Linked DNA regions of Caenorhabditis elegans. The protein of the gene in region 2 purifies or fractionates together with the protein of the main gene of each other region. This does not show direct contact. Each region holds a gene or a part of one and is shown on either strand. Other genes may lie near its edges. The genes, in order: ccr-4 and let-711.

What was found.
Region 1: the proteins of let-711 (region 2) and ccr-4 purify together in Caenorhabditis elegans (affinity purification with western blotting, with the first as the bait; one study listed by BioGRID). This does not show direct contact.

Annotation. Positions count from the first base shown.
Region 1 is NC_003282.8:12,363,472-12,371,463, reverse strand, and holds the start of ccr-4 (poly(A)-specific ribonuclease), read right to left. Parts: upstream 6,191-7,992; 5' UTR 5,920-6,190; coding exon 5,124-5,919; intron 3,070-5,123; coding exon 3,001-3,069; intron 2,681-3,000; coding exon 2,216-2,680; intron 2,167-2,215; coding exon 1,639-2,166; intron 1,014-1,638; coding exon 838-1,013; 3' UTR 1-837.
Region 2 is NC_003281.10:6,944,750-6,949,812, reverse strand, and holds the start of let-711 (CCR4-NOT transcription complex subunit let-711), read right to left. Parts: upstream 3,096-5,063; 5' UTR 3,049-3,095; coding exon 2,952-3,048; intron 2,809-2,951; coding exon 2,681-2,808; intron 2,628-2,680; coding exon 2,481-2,627; intron 2,410-2,480; coding exon 2,251-2,409; intron 732-2,250; coding exon 605-731; intron 550-604; coding exon 386-549; intron 329-385; coding exon 37-328; intron 1-36. Other genes in the region: abu-13 (Activated in Blocked Unfolded protein response), read left to right, coding at 4,166-4,560. UniProt on the Caenorhabditis elegans protein: Scaffolding component of the CCR4-NOT complex which is one of the major cellular mRNA deadenylases and is linked to various cellular processes including bulk mRNA degradation, miRNA-mediated repression, translational repression during translational initiation and general transcription regulation.

The DNA.
Region 1 (7,992 bases), on a different chromosome or scaffold from region 2:
CCTCCGGCTTCTGGAAAACTCATCGAGTTTTTTTAAAAATTCGATACAAAAAATTCAATCTCAGTAATCTTGCATGTTCGATCTGATCGCTTCCGACATTTCTTTTCGAACACATTTCATGAATGAAAAGAAGCGTGTCGGGAGCAAAAAGCTAGATCGAATTGCACAAATAACGAGATTTCATTATTTTTTTCAAACTGAAAGTAATCTGCGCCTCACGTTCTCGTACACTCTCTCCCTCCTCTCACACTGCACACCTACACCGTAACCGATCGTTGCGAGACCATTTCGCCGTGAAACCCTCAGTATACGAGTCACGAAACAGAGGGGATCTACTACAAAGAGAAGAAAAAGAGACGAGAGGGGGACTAAATGGAATAGAATGGAAAAATAGACTCTTCCATGAAGAAATCGAAGACAATCGAAAAAACGGAAAAAATATGAAAATGTTTTGAGTGGAATAAAAAGAATCGAACACCCCAGGGGCTACCAAAATATACTCAATAAAACTGATCAAAAGGAGAAAAAGAAAAACTAACAGATAAGAAATGAAGTGAGGGAAATAAAAGGGTCGGATCGAGGGAAGAGGGAGAACTCGTAGGAACAAAAGAAAAGTATGAAAATGCGCGGCGATGGAACATAATTCAAATATATCACAATTCAAACGAGTTATCAATCGTAATTACGAAGGACTCTACGTAAGTTTTTTATATGAAGAGAGGGAGAGAGTGGGGCAGATACAAGAGCACACAAATTGAGGTATGAGACAGAATGGTGAGGGAAGAGAGGGAGAGCCAGTTGTACACGAATTGAAGAACATTGCAGATGATGATGGGGTCAGCACCTCAGGAATGGTTGGGCTCCTGAAGGTGTTGATGGAAATCCTCCTCCAATTACACCAGCTGCAGGACCAGCCTGTTGAAGTGGTTGCTGTCGTTGATGTGTTGTTGGTATGATTGCATATTGAGCCATAATTGGAATATGATCAGATGCTACATGTGGATGAGGGAATCCTGGAAAACAGGAAATTAGAAAACTTTTAAAAGAGAACTTCCGATAAATTTGTTTGCATTATTATACTCAGAATGCGCATGAATAAACGAATTTCAAAATTAAAGTTTTCAAAAAATGTTTAAACAATTTTTATGTCGATTTCAATATTTGAAAAAGGCAAATTTTAGCTAAAACTCCAATGTTGGATACTTTTTCGAGTCGCAGCGGTCGGAAAATAATTTCGATGTTAAATTGTCCTCTAATTTTTAGTTTTTTTTTTCCATTTTTGTGTTTTCTTTTTATATTTTATAGATTAATAAATGATTAGCGTAAATCGACACGAGACATACAGTAGTCATTTATAGAATTACTGTAGTTTTCGCTAATTTGAGACAAACGACTAAACTATGCAATAAAGGATGATCATCAAATAAAAGTTAATTACGGAGCACTGTGACATAAAAAAATAGTAAAATTGGAGATTTTAGCAAAAATCAGCTCATTTTTTAAAAGAAAATTTGAACCGTCGTAGAAACTTTTTTTTAAAGAAGACTCATTGCAAAATTCGTTAATTTGGGCGGTTTTTAAGTTTATCTAAACAAGCAAAAAATCGAGAACTATTTTTAAAAAAGTATATTTTCTCACCAAGAATCTTATTCGACTGAACCCACTGTGGGTCAAATGGTCCAAGTATTCCAAGTCTCGCGAGTGACTGTGGTGTTGCGAAAATGTAATCAATCATTCCTTTGAAATCTAATGTGTAGTTTGTGAATGGTATCGAATTAATGTCACAAGCCGAGTCAAGCCTCAAGGGATGACTGATCACATTCTTGTCCGTCGAGTTGGTGAACTTTTCAAGACAAGAATCATCACGGAACGACTTCAAATCCATATGACGACGTGTTATTTGTCCTTTGGAAAGATATTCAAAGACACCAGAATCCGGAAGGGAATTGAAATCACCACATATGAGAACTGGAACTTGTTGTTGCGTGATCTGATATTTCTTTGATACTTCTTCGAGTACTCTTGATACTTCATGAGTAAGCATCATTGATTGTACCAATTTGACATCACAGAATTCAGGATCCCAATGAATATGAGCGGTCGCGACGACAAGAGGATTTCCGACCACGTTGTCATTCATTGGAATTTGCATCCGTCCCAGGAATTCTGCAAAAAAAAACAAATGTTTTTTTTTTAATTTAGAAAAAAAACTCACTGTTAGCGTAAACGCTTTCCTTGATCTTCAGCACAGCGCACAATCCAATATTATCTCTTGGCATGACACGATTGAGCATATTCTCACTCGTAGACGCCTTCTTCATCGCCACACTTGAAAATTCAAACAGATATTGCTTGTCCATATCAAACTTGTCAACTTTCCAAAAGATTGCACATCCATCCACATACTTTCGTTCCTCTTCTCCCATTGTCTTGGCACGCGATTTGGCTTCAAAGATGCCAGCATAACCAAGTTGCTTGAGTTCAGGTTGGAAAAGTGTTCGGAATTGTTCCGTTTCAACTTCTTGCAGCGTGATCACATCTGCTTCGTAGGTTCGGATCTCTTTTATGATGAGCCCTTTTCGGTATTCCCAGTTGAGAGCCCAGGAAGGACAGTACGAATATTGATTGACCGTAGCGTACTTGTCACACAGCACATTGTAGCAGAGAACGGTGAATGTGGCTGAAAATTAAATATTTAATTGTACTACAAAAATTATAAATTGAATGAAAATTCAGCATCAGAGATGTGAGGCACATTTTTCTTTTTGGAAAATTATATAGAAATATTCGTACTTTCGAATAATAACTTCTCTATCGCTCTAAATTTTTTACAAATTTCTCAAAAACCGACTCAAATATAAATCAGTTTTTGAGCAACTTTACAGAATTTCATTTCAAAGTAAGGTTATTTTCAGAAAGTAAAAATATTGCTCTGCTTTTTTTTAAATGAATTCCAAAGAAATTTCTGCTCAACAATGCTTCTGATATTTTTTCACTCACCAATTGGTCGTTCCGGATCTGCATGTCGGATCATTACCCAGTTTCGTTCCGGTGGAGGATGAGTGTTAACTGAAATTTCATAGTTTGTACAGAGTTCCCTTTTCATCAAAAATATATTCACATTTTCCCCGGCAATTTCCGTTTCGTTTTATGATGGCCTAACTAGACATCCTAGGGCTTTACTGTGTTCAATCCCACTCGATTTCCTTTTTGAGGCAAATATTATACGTTCAGAGATGTCGTCGTCCCCCTGTCTCTTTATGTAAACGTTCGTGACAAAGAACGAAGCGTAGAAAAAGAGAAAGAATATAAAAAAAGAAGAAGAAGACGATGAACGACTCGCAATTATTCATGACCGCTCACAGAAAGCGACAAAAAAAAAACAATATGACTAGTTGAGCGGATTCATCGAAGATACATACGGGAGAAGTGAAAAGGGCGGTCACTAGTATTATATCGGCCATATTGTGATTTTTTATTGGTTCTATGAAACTTGAAACTTGGATGAATAATGCTTCTCTAAACTATGAACTCAAAACTTCTTTATCTGATTTCCCTTATTCAATTCTTTCAAACACTTATTACCAGCATAACCATCTGTGCCATTTTAATTTATTGTTCGATCAACGGGACTGAAGATGAAGAGGCCGCCAATATTGAAATGTGTCAAGTGCACTCTCCCTATTCATCTTTTTCTATTCTCATTTTCAGTTTTCTAAACCGACGGAAATCCAAAATGAACTGAGGATATGGATAATCAAAAGAGGAGTTGACTTTTTACAGTAATTTGAAATCCCTCACTAGTTTCTTTTTGTTCATATTCAGGTTTTTGCAAAGTGGAAAATTAGAGGCTCTATATTTGATCTTTCCATACAAAAATTCCCAGACACAAGCGCCATGTTCAAACGACCAATTTGTTCTACGCGCCGTCACCACCCGGTGGCCTCATCCATCCATCGACTCGGACGGCTCGAAACCGTGTGTAAACATATCGTGCACCGGAGGGCAACCCAAAACACTCTTCTCACCGTCGTCAAAACACGGTGTGTTCTCTTTGCCTGTTGGGATAGATGGTGGTGAGCTGGTGATCCGAAGGGGGAGAAGAACACACTTCAAGAGAGAGTGAAAGGATCATTTGTAAATAACACGTTTTTGTGCATTGTTTCGATGCTTCGAACATGTCTGTGCTCCGTAATTAGAAAAACTGCGATTTATTAGATTATTGTTTCGGAGAAAATCAAGAAACATTGCAAACATTTCTATCAGATTTTTCCTAATTATCTCAGAAAACAGCTTCCAGTGTCTCACAAATCACCTGGTCAATGCTTATCCATTCTAATATCACTTCCTGCCAGTCCTCGCGCAATCAGTGATACCAAAACAATCCGACTTTCCAATGTCTCTAAACTGCCAACCATATTCACACTGAAGATGTGGAAGGATGTGACACCGTCCGAAAATGGCGACAAAAACTTGTTAACGCTTAAGACATACACACACCATCACTACCGTCAAGCCGTGATGTCCACACTCATACACACACACACCGTTGCCATTGCCATCCTTTTCCTGCCATTATGCTACAAATAAACGTACACGTTCGCCCCATATCTTCTTTGTCGTCCGCTTCTCTTTCTCTCTCACTCTTACGTCAAAATATGGCGTAATCACCATCGACCGATCGTACTTTTCAATGCCAAAGATGCGCAGAGATAACGGCGAAAAAGATGAAGCTGAAGCTGAGATTCAGGTAGAAGACATATGGAGAGAGATCGAATAGATGGAAATTTCGAGATTAAAATTTTACAATTTAATTAGGAATCCAACAAACTCAAGATTCAACCTGAATATTTTATAATCACAATTGCTCGTAACAATTTTATTTCAGTCACGCTTGTCAAAGCTAAAAAACCGCCAATCTAAGTGAACTGTCTATAGATAAGTGAAAACAGAACATGTTTACGATAGCAATCTGGAAAAAAACTATCGGAGAAAAGAAACAGAAGGAAGAGAAGATTAAGCTTTATGAATATTGTGGTGAGATAGTAGTAAAATTTGTCTCAAGTGAATACAACTTTCACTAGCTGAATCCTATTGAACTTTGGGAATGAACACGTACTTACCATGAAAATTGAATGGAAAACATTGGGACTCAGACATTGTTCGATAGGGGAAGCTTGAAGATTTTGGAAATGAAGAAGACATTTTCAAAAAGTGTGGTGAAACATCTTCTTCAGAATTATTCGAGATCGAACTCGGCGATGTTGTAGATGCTTCCGAGATACTTGCCATAGAGAGATCATTGGTTATCAGTGTGAGAGCACTGTCTACCGGTTTCATAAATGATGCATTTGACGGTTGTTGATACTCGTACCAAGAAGTGTGGTGATTGGAATATGATGGTTGATGATAAGCCTGATAATGGTATGCATCCGATATGGTTCGTTGGCAAGTTTGATGAGTATTGTATCCGTAAGCTGGTGATAATCCAGATGAAATCTCATGTTTTCTTGATTGAAGTATAGTAATTGGGAAGCTTCGAGTGTGTCCCAAATGTTGTTTTTGACGGGATTCATCATGTGTCAGAAATTCATAATTAAGATCATCATCTACAACCATCACACCACTTCCTAAAGCAGCCATTTCAACATAATCATAAACATGCGGTGGCTCTGGTGGTCTATACTTCTGATCCTTGATTCCATTTCGATTATGCGACGATGGATTATTGAATGCTGTATGTTTATGAGCTTGTTGAAAATTTGCATCTATCGGAGCTGATAGATTTTCGCTCTCCTCACAATTTCGACGTCCTTGTCGTTTTTGTAGCAGCTCAGCCCATCTTCTGGCTCGTCTCACAAATCTTTTTCCACTGGAGTTTCTTCTCGATGGCGATTCGCCGTCTCCACTGTCGGCCATATTTCAGAGGGAACTTCAGTACATTTTCGAATAGTAAGTTTGGATGGCCAGAGTTGGTGCACGTTTAAAGGATGAAAAAAGAGAAATGGAGTAAGAAAAGGGAAAGCAGGTGGAATATATGATGTAAAAAGAAAAGGACGTTGGTGAAAGGCAGAATGGGGGAATACTCTCAAAATGGGAAGCTAGTCAGGGCGGAGCCTTGTTCCCGTTTAAAACTCATGCAATGTGCTTCTGCCGCCGGCTGCTGCAGAGACACAAACACACGAAGGGGAGGGCGTATACAACGAGGGAAGACACTTTTCCGAAATGGGCGGAGACTGTTCGATCCTTCCTCGCAACGACGAACGGCAGAGAAAGAAGAAGCCGTGTAGAAAAAAACGAGGCGAATATGAGGAGGACTCGGGGGACGTAAGAAGAACAGATGATCATAAGCGAAGAGCTAAATAGTGCTAGAGACGATGAGTCGCAGACGAGCGTCGAACTAAAAACCGTGTATACGTATGGCGGTGGTGGTCACTGCGCCACCATTGCTGCGTCTCTATGGTTTATCTCTCACACTCGTGTGCCGCTTCTTTTTTAGAACGTTTTCATGTACACTGGATGAATGGCTGGACACACCGGCACATTAAACATGATATGTCGAGATTTGCGTGGAGGTTTTAAGAGATAAGTGTTCTTCGGAATGAAAAAATGAATTACTTACTATTAGAGTAAGTTATTTCATTTTAATGAAAATTAGTTTCGTTCTTCTAATTTTCAGGTAACACTTTTTTCTCTTGGAAATATGAGCCATTTCGTTGGTAGTGTCACAAAAATCATATAGTACTGCATAATAAATTATTACGAGCCTATTACAATTTTGTTTCCTACTGGTTTTCGTACTATATGATATTGTGAACCTATTTTTTAAATATACGAAACCAGTTAAAAACTTGTCTGCATTATTTTTCAACACCATTTTCTCGGTTTACACTGTTACTTTTTCTACTGATTCGATTACGATTATGAACACGAACACCCTTCAAGTATTGGTATGGCAATGCTTTTTTCATGACCACTTTCACAACTTGAAAGAAGAAACATGCCCCGAAAGAGAAAGTAGTTTGTGGCATGGGAAATCAAACTAACACGGATAATAGTGATAACGAACATCCTCTCTGTCTAATCAAGTGAGGGAATTGTGAATAAACTATAAGAAATGCAGAATTATCTACTATTACGTCATTCGGGGGATACAAGTGAAAGTTGAGATGTGTCAGACATTCAGGAGGGAAAAGCACGTCAATTCAAATCATATATTCTAGGTCGACGTCGGGAATCTTTGATGAACGATGCATCTTGTTTTTATGCTCCAAACACTAGACCGAACGCTTATTTTTTGACAGCAAAAAGTAAAAAAGTAAACTTACTAGTCAGGTGATCGAGTAGAAATTGCAATATCTTTTGCGCACCGTTGGTCTCGTGATAGATCTTGCTGATTTCCGGCGACAAAGGATTTCCTTGCAGACCGAGCGTCTGAATCCGGAAAAGCTTTCCCAGCTCATAGGGCAGCACACGGAGTTGATTATTGTTCAGGTACAGATGACAAAGACTGATCATATCACCAAGTTCTGTGGGAAGTGAGCGGAGCTTGTTGTTCGATATGTCGAGCATTGTCAGATTTGTCAACTGAAAAATGGGTTTTTGGTATGAAATTGGATTTTTCAAGAAGATTTTAGATGAAGAATAAAAGAATATAATATTTATTATGCTGATTTGTTTTTTGGTAATCTTTTTTTTTGCAATTCTACAAAATGTCCTACTGCCCCATGTTCTCCAACAATTTTTATTTGAAATTAGTGTCAAAATATTTAAAAAAAAAAATTTTTTTCTGAAAAAAAAAATTTCTGCTGGAACATTCAGGAAATTAATCAAAATGGTCGTATCGATTCATCGAATTTTTTTCCGGTAATTTGCCACTTTCAGGTAATTCTTGAGCATTTTCATAAATGTTTCAGGTGAAATAAATATTATTTTCAGATAAACTGAATGATTTTCTATCTTTTGACACTAATTTTGAATGAAAAATGTTGG
Region 2 (5,063 bases):
TCCTCAATTATGAAGTAAATTTTTTAAAAATCCAACTTTTCTGAATTGGTGCCTGTTTCAATTCGGTGACAAAATTTTCAACAGAAGACAACAGCGATACTCCGTAAATCTCCATTCGCCTGAGCAGAGCCTCTCTTCCAGAATCAAGCAATGCATCCTTCACAGGTTGAGTGAACTTTGTATCACCGAGCCGGGCAGTTGTAATCGTATCAGCCGCCTGAACATCCATGTCAATTGTCCCACCACTTCCAGCTGGTAATAGTTTAGTATTCGAGTAGAGAAGGAAGGCCAGTGCTTGAACAATTTCAGTGTTGTCCGGGTTGGAACACTGTAATTTTTTTGTTTTTGGAAATTTAAGGGTTTAAAAATAATAAATTATTCTCACCGATATCAGATATTGTACAAGTTTGATTGGATCGGTAGTCGAACTGATGATAACTTCTTTCACTTCTTTCTCCAGAAATGTCTGTACTATTTCTATCAAAGTTTGTGTTGTGAAGTTGCCACGTGCAATTTGATTGTATATTTCAGCACCTTCCGGAGAGACGCCTTCAAAATTATTTGTAATGTAAAAAAAATTGAATTTAAAAAAACGGTACAGTACCCCACGTATCAGATGTATATTCACAGTGACCAAGGAACAAAGGCTGAAGATAGTGACGAAGACGCCGGCTCTTGGCGAGCTTGCTGATAAACGGAAGGACCACCAGAGGATCGAATAAACCGGCTAGCTGCAAAAAAGTATCAAATAATTAATTTGAAAAAAGAATCAAAATTCAATTTTTAATTTAGCATTTTATTTATTTAGAAAATTGAGAATAATCTTACATGCAAGACTAATTGTTGGGTCTTAATGATAATTTTGAAAATTATTCTCAATTTTTCATGATATTTCAAATTTTGCAACGAAAAAAATCAAATGGCTGATTATGCCACGCCCACTTTTTTCAAGTTTTCCAATAAAATAAAATGTCACTTCTTGGTTTTTCATTTGTAATTTCAAAAAAGACGTCACATTAGAAATATTTAAAAAAAAAACAAGAAAACCCAGTTAAATATGCCGAAAAACAGGAAACTCTTCAAAAAGTGGGCGCGTCCTAATAAATCATTTGAATTTTATTTTTGCAAAATTAAAAAATAATTTAAAAGTAATCTTTTATTTTTAACAATTTTTTTCTGAAGAAAAACTGCTTTATCACCAGTAATATGGCAGGAGAAAAGATCGACAAGTAGCAGAGAAACTGTCAAAGAAAAGCGTCGTTTGAATAAATGTGTAATAGTTATATGACGCCAATATAACACCATTCATCTACTTTTAAAGGGATTCATCGTAAATTAGAAAAGGCTTGATAAGAGATAAGATCAAGAACAAGACCAAATAAACTGTATTGTCTGGAAAATCTGGGCGCTAGTCTACAGTAACCTAGTCTTGGCCTAAATTAATATAAATAAATATATGAATTAAATGATAAAGGATTAGTCTCTGGCCAGTGGACTTCTAACAATTGACCAGAAGGCCTAGAGATTTGAAGAAAGAGAGAAAAATGTGATATTGTGTATATGTGTGTGTGCCTTCTCAAGAGAGTTCTCATCCCGTGAACTTTCTTTATATATCTGTGTCTCTCTTAATCTCGTGCTCTCTTTCAATGTTCCCGTAAGCTAACAGAGGACCGTCCGTTCCTAAAGTCCATCTCCTCTTAGTCTTTCTTTCTTTTTCTCTCTGTCTGTGTGTGACCACGACGATCAAATGTTAATGTTACAGCACTTTTCGCATTCTGCGTCTTGTCGTTATTGTCCGGCACGGGCGAGAAGTGATTATTTGTATTTTCACTCGAAGAATCATACGTTGGGAAAAAGAAAAAATAGGAGAGAGTGCAAAATTGGGAAGAATTAAGGATCGAAAAAATTACTTGAAACTAAATATTTAGATTCAAGATTTTTATATCACTTTGAAAACCGTCTATGAATGGAAATTAGGTAAATACACTTTTTGAAAAATAAAAATAAATTAAATATGGTTTAAAAATTTTTTTCTAACTTGAACAGAAAATTATAAAAATTATAGAAAGTTTTTGAAAGGCTAAAGTATTTTTGGAACCTAGATGCTTATAAATTTACTTTTGTCGAGTCGAATTTTAACGTTTATCTTGGGTTGAATAAAGTTTCAACTTCCCAGAAAATGGAGTTTATATTATTTTCAAGGGGATAGCTTTAGTAGGAAATTTTGAAAATTTAAAAATAAAAACTCACTTTCTTGCACAAATGGGTCAATGTCTTGCTGGCAACCATATCATCCATGGTCTTCGTGTATGCATAAATCAAATCACAGAGAGCCGAAGTGAGACGTTGAGCTCCAAGAATCTCTATTCCGCTTCGATTAATTTGTGTAACTGTCGAATAGGAGAGTATCTAGAAACGAAATATTTTTGAATAAACACTATGTAAAGAAAGCTTCAAAACTCCAAAAAAAAAGCGCTTACAGTGTGAAAAAGACTAAGGGCAGCGTCTTCTTCAAGAAACTTTTTCGCCGGTGCTTCGATTTGACAGAAATTGAATGCAGAGAGAATGATATTGGCTGCATGATTTGGCAATGATGGTGATGAACGACCACAAATGACTACGAGACGCTGAAAAATAGCTTTTTCCTCCCAAAATTTTAGTTTTCATTCGATTATCCTACCTGAATCATGAACGAGTGAGGTTTCACACGATGAATACTGCTATGAGCAAGAAGATTGTCGATATAAGCACAAGAGCAACTATTCAACACGAATCCCATCGGCATTTTCGACAAAAGCGTGATGGTGCCTGCAAATTTTTCAAAGATTTCAACAACATTGTGAAATTTATAAAACAGCTTCAATAAATAATTTCCCTTCATTAAAAAAAATCATAAATCGTTTCTTGAAGAACAAATTACATATTTTTATATTAGCTTAAAAAATACTCACCTTTTTTGGAGATAGGTCTCTCCAAATTCTCTCGATTCCGAATCATATGATTTTCCTCCACACGAAAAACGGGGGCCAACCCTGAAGTTGAATGCATTTTCAACAACGAATGGGGCGAAAAATGAGGAAAAAACGAATTAAAAAGTTTGAAAACTTAAAACTCGCGCTAATTTTTGTGAAGCGCATTTTTTAAAGATCAAATAAAACTATGTGAAGAAACAGTTAAAAATATTGAAAGATTGGCGCCGTGCCAAGATCCGTTCCGTTTTAATTCTAGTTTGTAAACGACACTCCGAAATTCCGAGGCGCGTGTTGTTTAGTGTACAGCAGAATGGAGGATCGACAGCTGCAGCTGTGAGAAAATGAGCACCGATCCATGAAATGTGTCGAAAGTTATAAAAAAAATGTGCACCATAAATTTTATAACTTTATAGCAGTTGACCAAATCACAATCATACAAAAAACATGCGCATGTACTTCGAAAATGTTGAAAAATATCCGTTTTTAAGAAATTGTAATTTTTCCTGTGAACGTTTTATTATATTTCAATTTTGCTTCTTGGTTACCGTATTTTTGTGGCCACATTCTCAAAATTATTCATCTGGGAATATAATATTTGGATGACATATGCTCTGTTTTGAGTACTCCATTTTTTTTAAATTAAAACATATTTGGGCGTGTCGAGACAGGGTACTGTGAATCGGCAAAATTTCGTATCTGTGTAATAGTTTAACTTTGAATTGTGGATTATCTGAAATACTGTCACATTTGAATGCCTCCCCTGACAACTAATTCCCGTTCGATAAAAAATAAAGTACAATCCCATAAATCGTTCATCAGATGTCACCACCCTGTCAAACTTCTCGCTGTTTCAATTTCTAAGGCAATCCGTACGCACGGATTTTCCTCTTTTCTCTCTCTTGTTGCTTACAAAAGAAAAGAAAAGAAAAGATAAAAATCGTGGTTGTAGGGAAAACGATGGGTGAAGAAGGAGGCGGTGTTGATGGTTCTGGACATGGAACATAAACGATCTCATGTCTGACGCTCTTCGTCTATTCATACTATTTTCGGATGACAAAGCTAAAAACCCGTTCCGCACCAGTTCTCTGCGTCTCTAAAACATCCAGATCTTCTATTCTTTTCTCCAGAATCGCAAGAAAAAGAAGAAGCTGAACCTCAAATCTCAGTTCTTCTTCGATTTCAAAATTCCAGTGATGTGGCTCCTGATAGCTCTTCTGCCCTCTGTGGCTCTAGCGCAGAACACCTTTCAAAACACTATTTTTGACCTACCAGCTCAGCTAGGTGGTGAGCCAGTTGGTGTCGCTGCTCAAGCTCAGGGAGCCCCACTTTTTGTGCAAACCGCTGATCAGAAGCCACCAGCAGTTGCCGCGCCACAGCTTCCAAATGCTGTTCCAGTAGCACCACAAGCTGCTGTCACACCAGCTCCATTCACCTTCCCAACTCTTCCAACAGTTGCTCCATTCACTCTTCCAAGCCATCCAACATTGGCTCCATTTACCCTTCCAACTCATGCTCCATTCACATTCCCAACTCATCCACCATTGGTCTTCCCACCACCAAGTACTCCAGCTCCATTTGTTCCACCAAGGTTTGTGATTGAAATGACATTCGTAAGCGAGTTGCGCATAAGAAATGGAAAATTGGAAATTGTTCAGTTTGATCTTTTACCGATCAACAAAATAGTTTTTACTATTATTTCAAATAAAAAAACTTCATTTCCAAAAGCGAGATTTCCCATTCTAGGCTATTATTGTACTATGAGTGGAAATTAGTTTCAGGTTTCACAACTCATAATATACTTGTTAGTTCATTTCAATTTTACTTGTTAGTTCATTTCACTTGTTAGTTCATTTATACTTGTTTGTTCATTTCAACATTTAAAATGCCCAGTTTTTAGCGTTATCTTCAAAATATTCAAAACATCTGGTTTCTGTAGAAAAGCAGTACAAACCAGTATGCTACCTGAAAACGAACAGAAACATCTACTGTATTTCTAATTATAATTATAACTATAGTTGTGCACACCTTTTTTTTATTTGGCAACTTATTTGAGAAGTTTTAATTAACCAAATGCCGACAACTGTATAGATT